Stegostoma tigrinum: one gene and its partner. The protein of the gene in region 1 interacts with the protein of each later gene in a pairwise test. Links are inferred from orthologs where the notes say so. Each region holds a gene or a part of one and is shown on either strand. Other genes may lie near its edges.

Region 1 (6,947 bases):
GTCTCTCAAACAAAAACACGGGCACTTAAAAGACTGAAATGGAAGAATAGCAAAATCCAACCGAAAAGCTGAATTGTCTGGCACCCAAACAAGGCCAGATGCCAGATTTAAAATATTAGCATTGAGTACAACGATGACTAATCCCAAGGTGTAAGGTGTCATTCAGGTGAACAGAATATTCAAACAACGTGTGTACTGAACGAGCTGCCAGAAGAAGTGGTAGAGGAGAGTACAATAACTTTTAAAAGACATTTGAATAGGGGAGGTCGACAGATATGGGACTATATCAGTTTCGGAAATCCGGTCAGTGTGGATGAGTTGGGCCAAAGGGTCTGTTCCATGATAGATGACTCTATGGCATGACTGATTGAAATTAAAGATGAAGGGTTGTGTTATGAAGCTTACATCATTAGGAGATACTAGAAACATGAAAACTGCCATTTGTGATACTTACTGAAATCTCTGTTGGGCTTTCTTGTGAAAAAGTAAAATGTTGCCTTTTAGTTTGGGAAGCCAGAAGGATACTAAAGTGGCAGATATTCTCACACTTGCTGAGATCAATATGGCATTTTACCTCAAGAAAATATTGGAAGAAATTCCAAGAAAGAAACTTGGCAGTCATATCCTTTGAGTACTATATCAACAATAAATCCTTGAGATATAAGCTTAAAGTATGAATGAAAACACACAATTGAAGACCTATATTCAGCATTCTGAAGGAGGATCACTGGACCAGAAACATTAACTTTGTTATTTTCTCTCCACAGATGCTGCAGACCTGTTTATCCAGTAGATTTTTATTTTCTTGAGGATATATATTGCAGTTTCAAAATAAATACTGAAGAATGGAGAAATCGCCATAGTGACTAATCATAAAGATAAGGTATAGGGTATAATTGGTCCATTTGGCCCATCGAGGCAACTCTGCCATTTAATCATAGCTGAAGTGTTTCTCAACCCTGTTCTTCTGCCTTTTCCCAATGATCTCTCATTCCCTTATCAATCGAGAAACCTATCCAGCTCCACCTTAAACACACTCAATGACTTGGCCACCATAGCATCCTACAGCAATGAATTTCACAGATTCATGATCCTTTGACTAAATAAATTCCTCCTCATCTCAGTCATCCCTTCACTCTGAGGCTATGCGCTCAGCTCCTAGTCTCACTGAGAAGTGGAAACATGTTCACCGTGTCCACTGTATCCAGGCCTCTTCATATTCCCTAGGTTTTAAAATCAGATCACCCCTCATTCCTCAAAACTCCAAGTTCAGGTCCAGAGACCCCACCCACTCCTTACATGACAAGCTCTCCATCCCCAGCAAAATTCTTGCAAATTTCCATCTTTGCCATACGCATCCATCCTTCGACACAGAGCCCAAAACTGGTCAGTGTTCCAAATGAGGCCTGACCAGTGATTGGTACTGCTGAGGATATAGATCTGCTCTTCTATTCCTAACTTTCTTCAAATGAGTACTGACATATTGCATTTGGAGATAGCAAGAACTGCAGATGCTGGAGTCAGAGACAACATAGTATGGAGCTGGAGGAACACAGCAGGTCAGGCAGCAGAGGAGCAGGAAAGTTGATGTTTCAGGTTCAGGCCCTTCTTCAGAACTTGGGGGGGGCATGGGGTGACGTGGAGGAGGGGGGGGGGGGGAGAAGAGAAGTGGAGAAGGGAGTAGGGAGTAGGGAGCTGGGAAATAAGTCGGGGGGGTGTGGCCACTTGCTCCTCAAGCAAGTGTGTAGTGTCATTGTGTCACTGGTGGCAGCCCAGGAAAGACATGTCATCATAGGAGTGGGACTGGAAGGTGGAATTAAAGTGGTTAGCAGCCAGGTATTGTCACTTTGGGAGCCTACAGCTCAATGACCTTAACACAGAATTAGCCAGTTTAAAATCTCCCCAACACACATCTAAACCTCCTGCTCATCCCTGCCTCCTTGACCTGACATAACTTGTCCATCTTCTTCCCCACCTATCTGCCCTACCCTTTCCACTGACCAATCCCCACCAGCCCTACCTACAGCCACCTATAACCATCCCACCTACCTTCCCCCAGCCCCATCCCTCCTCCCTCTATTCCTAACTCCCTTCCCAGTTCTGAAGGAGGGTCTCGGCTCAAAACGTCGACTAAAAATTTTCTTTTAGGAAAGGACTCCAGAACCACGGCAATGCTGTTGACTCAAGAGATCCATTCATATCACAACTCAAACTAAATGAACAAGTTTAGTCATATTGCATGTGCAGTTCTCCAGCAATACCATCATTATAAAAGCATTAGTCAATCATTTTGTATGACGAATGCCAGATTTCAACTTTGTTGATTCCGAATACGCCGTACCAAGGAAGTGTCCGAAAAGTTCGTGAAACGCTTTATCTACATTATCCTTGAGCACCAGGCTTTTCTAAATTCCGATGATTATTACAAATGAATTTCTGTGAAGGTCCTGTAGAATTTTCCACCTTAGTGCAATATTTTCTTAAGAGGTTTACAAACCAGATGCAAAGGTGACTTTGACATCATCATTTCTCATTTTTACCCAAAACGGTTTCTACAGCTTAGGTTATCCCTCTTAACTAATGACAGTTCAAGCAAAACAGAACCACTTATCTACCCTTCCCTAGCTTCTCGTAAAACAAAAAAAAATCACATCTCAATTCTGTTTATAAACGGGGTTTTGAGTCACAGGTGGTAGCAGTTCCCGCACACTACATTCTTCTAGATTGACACTTTCCCCACAAACACTGCCCAGGACACCCCAAGTGCTTGACAAACAAAAGTAACCTACTCCATGAACAATAGCTCACCCCGCAGCCCTCCCTATTTCCGCTTCTCCACAAACACGGGCACATCTTATTACACCCACCACTCAACAAACACAAATAACTCTTACCACAAATACAGTTCCAACCGCGCCCCCCCCTTTACCTTTAAACTCAACTGCAACCGGAAATCATTGTCCCGTGATGAGCCCGCTACGCATCCGGGTCACAAACATGGGAGGAGCTTCCAATCGGTGGGCGGGGTGTTCAAGGCGTAAATGCGTCTTTTGCGGCGAAGGTGGGGCGATAAAGGGGTGTGTCCTTTGCGCAGTGTGCGGGGTGACGTAACTGGAGCAGGCTCACTGTGCCCAGTGGGCGGGGCGAGCGATAAGGCGGGGTGTTCGTTGTTCGTGGGCTGGGCGGGGCGGGGCGGGGCGGGGCGGGGCAAAAAAGTGGGTGTGCTCCTTGACGTGGTGGGCGGGGTTTTGTGCACGGTGGGTGGGGCAAGTGGAAGCTGCTTGACTGCGCAGCTACTCAGTTCAAAAAAATCTTTTTTCGATTCAACATGTTCAGACATGGTATTACACATTTTTTTTAGAGGTGGGACTTCCTGGCTCAAAAGTATGGACACTACCACTGAATCACAAGAGCCCTTAGAAAGTTTTTATTTTGTGTTTTACAGCTTGTAAGGGCGATATTCTGTTTTAAATTTCTCAAGGGAAGAAGACTCCTAAAGTAATTGATTAAATAAAGGTTTAAATCATGGGGGTAAGTCGGCAAGAGAGCTTAATATATGGTTTGCTCTAGTTCCTCCTGTACGTGGGTAGCTAACCATGTTTCCCAAGATTAGAGGCTGTCCTTGACCACTGAAGTGTTCGCCGACTGGGAGGGAATATTCCTGTCTGGCAATTGTTGCGCAGTGTCCATTCATCCATTGTTGTAGCGTCTGCATGGTCTCCTCAACATGCATTAGGACATCCTTGCCTATAACGTATGAGGTAGACAGCGTTGGCTGAGTCACATGAATATTTGCTGTGTACGTAGTGGGTGGTGTTCCCACGTTTGATGGTAGTGTCCATGTCGATGATCTGGCATGTCTTGCAGAGCACATGTCATGGCAGAGCTGTGTGGTGTTGTGGTCGATGTCGCCCTGAAAGCTGGGTAGTTTGCTGTGAACGATGGTGTGTTTAATTTTTGGCAATTGTTTGAAGGTGAGAAGTGGAGGCATATGGATGATCTTGGCAAGATGTTTGTCATCATCACTGACATGTTGAAGGCTGCTAGAACCATGGCGTACTTTCTCCACTTTGGCGAAGTACTGCATGATGAAGGGTACTCTGTTGGTTGTGTCTAATGGTTTCTCATTGTGGCATTTTGAAACTGGCAATCGATGAGTTGAGAGTTGTATCTCATTCTTATGAGGCTGTCCTTCAAAATCTTTAGGTGTCCATTGCATTCCTCCTTGTCTGAGCAGATCTTGTGTATATGCAGGGCTTGTCCCGAGGGGATAGCTTCCTTAACATGTTTAAGGTGGAAGCCAGACATGTACGGCATTGTGAAGTTATCTGTTGGGCTTGCGGTAGAGTGAGGTACTGAGGTGTCTGTCAAAGAACAAAGAAAATTACAGCACAGGAACAGGCCCTTCAGCCCTCCAAGCCTGCGCTGATTCAGATCCTGTCGTCTATTTTCCAAGAATCTGTATCCCTCTGCTCCCTGCCCATTCATGGATCTGTCGAGATACATCTTAAATGACACTATCGTGCCTGCCTCTACCACCTCCACAGGCAACACATTCTAGGCACCCACCACCTTCTGCGTAAAGAACTTTCCACGCATATCTCAATAAACTTTTTGCCTCTCACCTTGAAATCGTGACCCCTAGTAATTGAGTCTCCCACTGTGGGAAAAAACTTCTTGCCACCCATCCTGTCTATACTTCTCATGATTTTGTAGACCTCAATCAAGTCCCCCCTCAACCTCCGTCTTTCTAATTAAATAATCCTGATCTACTCAACCTCTCTTCATAGCTAGCGCCCTCCATACCAGGCAACATCCTGGTGAACCTCCTCTGCACCCTCTCCAAAGCATTTTGGTTATGTGGCGACCAGAACTGTATGCAGTATTCCAAATGTGGTTGAACCAAAGTCCTGTACAACTGTAACATAACCTGCTAAATCTTGTACTCAATACCCCGTCCGATGAATGGAAGCATGCCGTATGCCTTCTTGACCACTCTATTGACCTGCCGTGCCACCTTCAGGGTATAATGGACCTGAACACTCACTCTGTGCATCAATTTTCCCCAGGGCTCTTCATTTATAAATAATTTTCTCTTGAATTGTATTTTCCAAAATGCATCACCTCGCTTTTGCCTGGATTGAATTCCATCTGCCATTTCTCCGCCCAACTCTCCAATCTATCTATATTATGCTGCATTCTCCGACAGTCCCCTTCACTATCTGCTACTCCACCAATCTTGGTGTCATCTGCAAACTTGCTAATCAGACCATCTGTACCTTCCTCCAGATCATTTATGTATACCACAAACAACAGTGGTCCCAACACGGATCCCCGTGGAACACCACTGGTCACAGTTCTCCATTTTGAGAAACTCCCTTCCACTACAACTCTCTGCATCCTGTTGCCTAGCCAGTTATCTATCCACGGCCCGGTGGCTCAGTAGTTAGCACTGCAGCCTCACAGCGCCAGGGATCCGTGTTCAATTCCAGCCTTGGGCAACTGTCTGTGCAGAGTTTGCACATTCTCCCCATGTCTGCGCGGGTTTCCTCCGGGTGCTTCGGTTTAGTAAAAATTAGCTTAGTAATAGGAGATAGAGAGTTTTGCTGAAGTGTAAGTGGTGCCTAGTGTGCAGTGGTGTACCACAGGGATCAGTGCTGTGTCCCTTCTCGTTTGCGGTATTCATAAATTATGCAGACGAAAATGTGAGAGGGATTATTGAATACCAGATATATATCATAGAATCATCATAGCATACCTAGAGCATGAAAGCAGGCCATTCAGCCCATCAGGTCCACACTGACCCTCCAAAGAACATCCCACCTAGATTCACACTCCTCCCTGTAACCCTGCATTTCCCATGGCTAACCCACCTAGCCTGCAAATCCCTGGACACAGTGGGGCAATTTAGAATGGCCAATCTACCTGACCTGCACACCTCTGGACTGTGGGAGGAACCCAGAGTGCCTGGAGAGAATCCACACAGGCACAGGGAGAACGCGCAAACTCCAAGTCTGGAATCGAACCCGGGTGCCTATTTAACATATATTACTGATTATAACCACACTCCTATTATAGACAATGACTTGTTTGGTTTTGTGAGTAAAGTCACAAGGACTTTAGTTTAGAGACTTTAAAAAAATTAACTGAGAAAAGATGACTAAGTAAATTAGAACATATTTAACAGAGGAATAATACCAGAATCCCAGGGTAAGTCTCTTTAGTTCTGAAAATCTACTCACCTGCTAAAAACTAAATTGATGTATTTAGTTTTAATTCAAAACAGTACCACAATCGGTAAAATGTAAGATAAATCAATTTATTTTAGCCTGCTACCATTTGTTACTAAGAAACCAATCCAATGCCTTATCACTAAAAGAAATACTGAGCGGAGGAAAACTAAATTGATTCTGGAATTCAGAACATGGTGTCATGGGGGGCAGTTTGATGAATCTGGGCTGATAGAACACATCATATGAACTAGACAGGAATTTCACTTTGATAACAAAGTGTGAAGCTGGATGAACACAGCAGGCCAAGCAGCATCTCAGGAGCACAAAAGCTGATGTTTCGGGCCTAGACCCTTCATCCTTCAGGAGCACAAAAGCTGACGTTTCGGGCCTAGACCCTGGACACTGTTCAGAAATGTGTGGAAATACAGCAATCCTGACCTCTAATAAACTATAAGAACACTAAAAATGAAATTCAGATAAGATGAGAGCTTCCCTGTTATAGTCAATATTAGTTAACTGTGCCTAGCATAAGTCCAAACTGCTTCTGCTTCCCCCATTTCTCCCTTCCCCCTCAAATAAAAGGATGAAATAAACATGAGACTTTGACCTCATGACCTCCTAGTTTTTAAATCAAATCATCACAATCAACTCCAGGCAATAGTAGACCCATTGTTTTGAATATTTAGTTTAAGATGGCATTTGCTGATAGGATTA
Region 2 (7,792 bases), on another chromosome or scaffold:
CTGACTCCTTGACTTGTATTTTATCTGGGCTGACATCAAAAAACCACAAAGTACACCAAGCACTTCCCACATATTTCATAAACAAATGAGGCAACAGCAGCTTAGAGTTTTCATGGAGTAACACTTTGAACCCTCTCTCCAGTTTCTGCTGATCAAGAAATAAGGAAGACATTTATGAGCTGCAGGATGGGCAGTGAAGAGTTAAAAGGCTGATTCCATGTGTCCTCTCATGTCGGTGCTACGAGAAACCAGGGTTAAAAGAACACTTTTCTTCAGAAAAAGAGAAGCGGGGCATAAAGCTTTAGAATCAAAGTAACTAAAGTTACAGCGGAGTGAGATGAACATTTCTCTGGATGGATGTTAAATGGATTTCCTTTGCCATAATTATCACTGGATTTTGTGAGATGACAGTCTGGGCAATATTTTGTCTCAAAAATTTGCTCCAAAGCATAACTGTTTAAACTTTCAGTCAGTCTGAAAGTAAAGTGGATTTATGTGGATTGACCTTTTGTTCATTGCAGGAAATATTGGTTCATTCAATGTTGCCATGGTTGCAACACCAAGGATTGCTTAATTGATTCATTTAAATTGGACAGTAGGACCACTTGTTAGTATGACTTAATGTTATGACAGGGAGTGCTATTGTATCGGCATTGTTTGTGTGTCAATCTTTAGGATTCCTGAGGATCCAATACCCAATACAAAAGAAACAAGGCAGGTTTGTACGATTTTAAATAAAACCTTAATGCAGTGACAATCCACATTTCTGGTCACTTCACAAATATCACCTCCTGGACTTCCTGACTACAATCTAATAACAAACTCATTGCTGAGAGACTGGCAACCAATTGGCTGTCTACGGATTCTCATGTTTCAACATTGACACTTAATGAATTAAGGGAACATCTCAAAATCCCTGTGCTATGTTGTTTCATTGTTGTTAAATGTTTTCTGAAGGACCAAGTTCAGATCAGTGTCTTGCTCAGGAGCAGTAAAGCAGCTCCATCATTCAAGTTTACTCTGTTAGGTAGCAGTGGGAAATTAATCAGGGAGGCCCATGGCATAACTCATTTTCCCAGGAAGAAAAGCTTGCATTTCTATTGCACCCTTTAAGATCTCGGGACATCGTAAGCTGCTTCCCAGCCAATGTAATACTTTTTAAAGTGTAGACACTGTTCCAATGTAGTCAACCTATAAATCCTTGTTATGCATTTCTAACAGGTAATAAGAGTTGGACAGTCTTGTGGTCAGCCAGAAATGTATAATAGCCTGCAGGACACCAGCTATCCCATGTTAAAAGACTCCACCCACAGGGTCTTAATTGTCATGAGCACACACCAGCCAGCCATATTCTGAGGAACAAAAACACATGCACACAGTCTCTGTCTCTCTTTCTCTCTCACACACACACACACACACACACACACACACACACACACACACACACACACACACACGCACGCTAGAAACATTCGATACATTTACTGCCTTCATCAGAATAATGCCATAAGTTGTTTTAAGTTAGCTGAGAAGGTTGAATGGGGCCTTAATGAACATCTCATCTGAACAATAGCACATCCAGCAGAATTCTCTCAGCAGAAGTGGAGTTCTGGCTGCAATGATGCTCTTAAGACTCTGAAAGTAGCAATAGTGATGTGTGATCCTTGTCCTTGTTCACTTTGCTGTTTTGGAAATGAAGAATGATTTTCTGTAAACTGGAGCTTGTGGGTGGTAATTCACATGCAGGGAGCAGCTCGGATAGGCAGTAATTTACAAAATACCTGTTTCATATTCATTGAAAAGCAGTTTATTTCTTTTGAAGAAGTTGAACACCAACAAAAATGAAAAGTGTAAGAATCCTGTGTCCACCATGTTGGCTATTCTTCAATGTCTTCAAGATGCTTTATGAATTATATATTTTACTCAATCAAGTGGAATCTTACAACAGGCAAGTGGGTTATTCGACTCATCAGGTTTGAACTTGCTCTTTCAGAGGGATAACTAATTAATTCTACCCTTTTTGTTTCTCCCTGCATTTCAAGTGTATTTTCATTCCCCTTTCCAAAGTTACATCAGCCTTTCAAGCAACACAGTCCCGTTCATAACAACTCATAAGTTTAGCGCTTAGAAGCAATGCTTTCCTTTCATGAGCCAGTCACTCTGAAGGGCTTGGAAGGGGACTGGGTTCCATATGCTGTGAACCCCTCCAAGCTCATCCACAGACTCAGTTAGTTGTACGTTCTGCAACAAGTTGCACTGGAGTCCTTAGCTTGAAACAGCACACAGTTTAAGAAACAAAAATCATAAAAACGAGAAACAGATCTGATGATCATTAACTGTCTGTTCCATGTTTCTGTAGATTCAGACTGATCTTGCTGTATCAGTACCAGCCATTCTTTTTAATTTGTTGTTAATTTTGATTTTCAGCATTTGCGTTTTTCTTTTGATCTATTTTTATTCTCTCTGTGATGTTCAAGCACTTCTGCTAAGAAAGGCTTTATCACACTGTCAGGCAGCCTGCCTACCCTATGCTAATTCTGAGGAAAGAAGAAGAGTATAATAAAGCTCCGCTCCCCTGCTGTCTATCCATAGCCCAACAGATTCTTCCTTCTCAAATATTCACCCAATTCTCATTTTAAAATGACAAATGAACCCGCTCCTCTACCCTCTCAGACAGTGGGTTTGACTCTCTCTGTTCAGCTTTGAATCAAGCCTGAATATACTTAAGGAGTGGCTTTATTCCAATTCTCCCAGGAGAAGGACCTTATTTAATAAAATACATTCCAGTCAGAATTTTCCGCTAACGGCATTAAGTGAGATTGTCTTTAACTGACACAGATCATATTGATGCATCCCAGTTTCATTCCACACAAACAGTTTTATTCTCCTTACCTTGGTGTGGTTCCAGCTAACTTTCAGCGTACAGTTGACTGCAAGTTTTTTGCTGTCGGACAGAGATCCTTTTATCCTCTCTTGAGTTGCAAGTTGAAAGCTATTATTGAATTCACTGCAGTCCCTATGCGGATAGTTCTGACCAATCGGTGTACGAGGTTCGCCACATCCCTCAGACTGGCTACATCAGTTGCAACTTAATGAAGTGTAAATGATACAGCAATTTCTTTTAAAGTACCCATCATCTCACTGGAACCTAAGTAGAACATCGCAGAGCTGCAAAACTGTGACGATCTAGATTGTCTCTGATGAATATAACACAATAGACTTGAAGGTTAATTATATTATGTATGGCATGTCTTCCATTACTGTTGGCAGACCTAATATCTGTTGCACAACAATAACCTCTTACGTCTGCTCAGTTCTTGTACATCTCACGTGTCTCCTGAGAAAGCTAAACCAAGTGGAGGAACAAACCTATCCAAATAATTGGTTGGGCCCATGTTTGGAAATTTGCATCCGGCTTCATCAAACCTACCTTAGAGTAAGGAGAAAGCGCAGGAGGGATTCACGATGAGGTGAGCAGACTTAGATGTCATGGGAGGCTAGGGAAAATCGCTTTAGAACGCTACCGGTGGTGCTCACAATAAAGAGAATCTTTGCAAAGGGCAAGTAGTGTGAGGGTTCATGGATAGATGGGTACAGTGGGTCTGAGTGTTTAAGCGCTGTTGGGTACAGGATGCAAGGGTTTATGTACGGTTGGGTACAGTGGTGCAAGGTATTGTGTACAATGGTGTGACTGTTTAGGTACAGTTGGGCACAGTGGGCCAAGAATTTGTGTTTGGCAAAGTGCCAGGGTGAGGGGGTGAATACATTAGGTTCTGGGTGGGAGGGCGGGTGCCAGGTCCATTGGGGTAAGGTCTGTCCAGTCAGGTGGCAGGAGCATGTTGAGTCTTGGGTTGGGGGTGGTGGGGGTGAGGTTGGTGGGGGTGGGGGGGAGTGGTGGAGCGGTGAGAGTTTCCGGTCCTAATGGGGAGAGGAGTTGGATACCAGCACTGGTGGTGGAGGAGGGGTGTATGGGTGTCAGGACATTGGTGAGGCTTAGGGTGCTGGCAGGTAACTATACTGGGAGAGGTGTAGTTGAGAAGGTGGGTAACGTTGAAGGCAGCAATCAGCTGAATAGTTACTCAGGAGTTGTATTTAGGTATTTAACCTTCCACCTTTTCCTCGACAACTGTTTACCTCACAGTAATGGGACCCTCAGAATTTTCTGATTGAAATGGATACTTCTGGAGGCTCCATGCATAGAGCAACTGGCCACCAGAATCTTCAAGTTCTGGGGTAATTTCTTCAGAGTCAGTTATGTCAGGAATTCCACAGAGGCCCAATGTGCAATTCCATACAGGAACAGCTGTGTGGCCCTGGAAAGTCCTTAAAGGAGAACAGGCAGGGATAAACTCTTTCCACTGCTTGGAGATTTTAGCACTTGGTACATAATAGATAGACCTTACAGGGATGAGATTAGAAGACACTTTGACAGAAAAAGAGTAATTGAAGCTTAGAGCTCTCTCATGTAAATGGTATTTGAGGTTAGATCAACTATTGAGTTTAAATCTGAGATTGATGTCTCTTTATTCATGAGAAGTAGTCAGGGATAGCAAGCAAAGGGTTTAGAGTAAGATCAAAGATCAGCTACGATCTCACTGAAGCGCGGAAGTGGGCTTATGGAGCAGAATGCCTTTTAATTCTTCCTGTATCCCTATCCTGTGTCACACAAACACACACACACATGCACACATATATACACACACACACACACACACACTCACACACAGAGACACACACACACACTTACACAGACCCTCTGTCACACAACACATGCACCCACCCATACACACACACACACACACACACACACACACACACAGACACACACACACACTTACACAGACCCTCTGTCACACAACACACGCACCCACCCATATACACACACACACGCGCGCGCGCGCGCGTGCGCACACAGTCTCTCAGACACACACATGAATTATTTCATCTAAGATGTTTGTGTAGTTGCAGATACATTCTGTCTGGTTCAAGAAAAGACCTGACTCCAGTTTAAAACATACACAGAGTATAAACAAGAACTCACACCTAAAATGCATTGTCTGACCCAAGATATCACCTCTTTTATACATTGATAAAACCTTTAATTATCTCAGGACAATGACTTGAAAGGAATCTGGATTGTACATTTAATTAGTAGTCTCCTTCCGAACTGATTAACGATTCAGCAAGAGGTAACCAGTTTTAGGGTTGATACTGTTCTGCTTATAAATTCTGTGTCTTATACCTTCTCTCTCAAACTATGCCTGAGGAAGGAGCTGAGCTATAAAAGCTTGTGTTTTCAAACAAAGCTGCTGGACTATAACCTGGTGTCGTGTGATTTTTGATCTATGTTTTCAAAAGGCACAAAGTTGTAAAAAACACCAAGTTGTGCCTAACACCAAGCACAACTGGTTGTCACTGTGTTATTTGCCACCTTTGAAAACAGACAGAAGGGTGAAGCAGTCGTCATTAACGCGCGGCATGCTATTGCACAGAACATACATTTTTGTGTCAATGGAGACTAATAGGTGCTATGGCTTTGTAAAGAATGTAAATTGCTAGAGTTAAGTGTTAATCAAAGCAACATTTGTGGTAGCCCTCATTATGGATCTTGCTTTCTGTTCTTTCTCTCTGTCTTCTGAAGAGACTGTGACAATGCTGTGGCTTTGAGAGGCTATTTTGTCCTGTTTTTTTTCTAGAAGAGAGGTTTTAAGGCAGGGGTGATGATCAGTTTACCAAAACCATTAGAGTAAACATCTTGTGGAGCCTTGAGTTTGTTTTTAATGTTGGAACAACTGAAACAGCCTGACAGCGGTGATGGTTGTGGGTTGGAGGGAGGGGTGGTGGTGGTCAAGTCCTTATAGAAGCCATAATTAGTTTTCTCCCCAGCAGATGTTGCTGGGGTCTCAGCAGGATTAGAAGGGAGTCAATCTCTCCCAGTGGCTACACTCTCTAAGTTTACTCCCGATGTTTTTCCTCCTGGGCAGCTGGAGTTGCATGTGAGACAATTCTGTTTCCTGATTTTGCTTTTTGACATTCAGTATTTTTATGGGAGGTTACTATATTGGAACAGTTAATGTTTAATAGTAAAATAATCTATTATCCGCTTAAGTTTTCCAATTGAGTTAAGTTATTCCAAGGTCCTCTTTCTTTTGTTGTATTAGAATAAATTGTGTATTGCTGAACATCGAGTAATTTGACCAATCGAATTGCATCTGGACCACATCACTTCACATTTACATTTAAAATAAGAAAAAGTTAGGGTCTAGGCTACCTATTTTATATATTTTGAGGAGGTCTGGTCTGGTCCATAACAAGATGTAGTAGTGAAAAGCCCAAGGTGTTGAAAATGATCCTTTGGTACATATTGAAAGTTTCAAAGGAACTGGAACCAGCCATTATCATTTTTTTCTGTGACCTGTTGGGCTCCAGAAATCAATGACAAAGAAGCATGGGAGGAGCTCATGGAGAAAGGCATCTGGCTGTTTGCTTTACCCAGATTAACTGTGGCAAATATGCTCCATTGTGGAGCATTATGGTGATTAATAGGTCACACAACTTTTTGCAGAGCTCATCTTAGCTAAATGGAGCAAGTTGTGAGAACTGAAGCTTTGTGCATGGAGCCGATTCTCCTTTAATGGCGCTCTATGAACTGATCTGATCTGCATGAACAATATGCCTCACACCAAGTTGAAAGCACAAACGGCACCCTCCCTGTTTCACTAACACGGTTATTTTTGATCCAACATCTTATCCTCACATTTCACGTCAGTTAGATTAATGAATGACAGGTCAATGCACAACCAGGTTTGTGATGCAGCCTCACACTCTTTCATCAGGATGAAATCTGCTGAAGTGATTCGATTTAAACATTTTGAAGAGTGTCACACTTTGTCACATCTTTGTCCAATTTTAATGGAAACATAGGGAGTAAAACAAATCCCCTTTAGACGCCAGGTACACAGATATTTCAGACCCCTGTCTCGTGGTCCGCAAGATATCTGCATGTTATTGCTTAGAAAGAGCTGAATGATCACTGAGGTGGAAACCTGGCACTACAACTGGAAGACACAATGTAAACAATTGCTCAATAACACCCAAACCAAAGCTGGATTTTTCTACCTGTCTTGTGCAGTCAGAAATGCTGAAGTAATGAGATATTTCAAGATTACTACAGCACAAATTCTGAAACCTTTAACAAGTTGTTACTGTATTTTATACTCCTTCATATTCTACTTTAGAAAATGGGAATTGGGATCAATTTTAGATTATTGTTAACAGTTATTCTCTCTGCCTGCACTTTGGATTGGATTGGATGATTATATTGTATTGTAATTGTATTGTACTGAATTGCATTTATTGTGGCCTTACAATCCCGTAGCTAGTGAAAGAAAGTCTCAGGACATCTTCAGAAAGCAGCCCACAACCAGTAAAGCCATTTGAAGTATTGTCACTATTGCAATGGAAATGTGATGATAGACGATACGCACATAATAAGGTGCCACAAACAAAATAAGGTAAATGTTAAGTTTTTTTAACATTGGCAATTGAGGGATACATATTGGTCCGGATACCATGGAGAATTCTCCTACTGTTTTGAAAATATAGTTATGAGGTTTGTTACATCGAGCCGACATGTGGCAATGTCATTTGGAAGGTAGCGCCGTAAGAGGAACAGCCTTCTACCTTAGCCTCAGCTTGGACTAGAGATTTATGTTCATGCAGTGGGACTTGAACTCAGAGCCTCCTGCTCTCAGATTTAAAAGTAAAGCAAACTGAACCGCCACCAATTGTC

Evidence for each region.
Region 2: the proteins of spg21 (region 1) and s100b interact in binary tests that used the Homo sapiens proteins (3 or more experiments, as listed by UniProt). The two-hybrid records come from large-scale screens. The link is inferred for Stegostoma tigrinum from reciprocal best matches to the Homo sapiens genes SPG21 and S100B.

Annotation. Positions count from the first base shown.
Region 1 is NC_081386.1:721,258-728,204, forward strand, and holds the start of spg21 (maspardin), read right to left. Parts: upstream 3,011-6,947; 5' UTR 2,930-3,010; exon of another isoform or gene 2,895-2,929; intron 1-2,894. UniProt on the Homo sapiens protein: May play a role as a negative regulatory factor in CD4-dependent T-cell activation.
Region 2 is NC_081360.1:22,921,834-22,929,625, forward strand, and holds the start of s100b (protein S100-B), read right to left. Parts: upstream 3,019-7,792; 5' UTR 2,893-3,018; intron 1-2,892. UniProt on the Homo sapiens protein: Small zinc- and- and calcium-binding protein that is highly expressed in astrocytes and constitutes one of the most abundant soluble proteins in brain.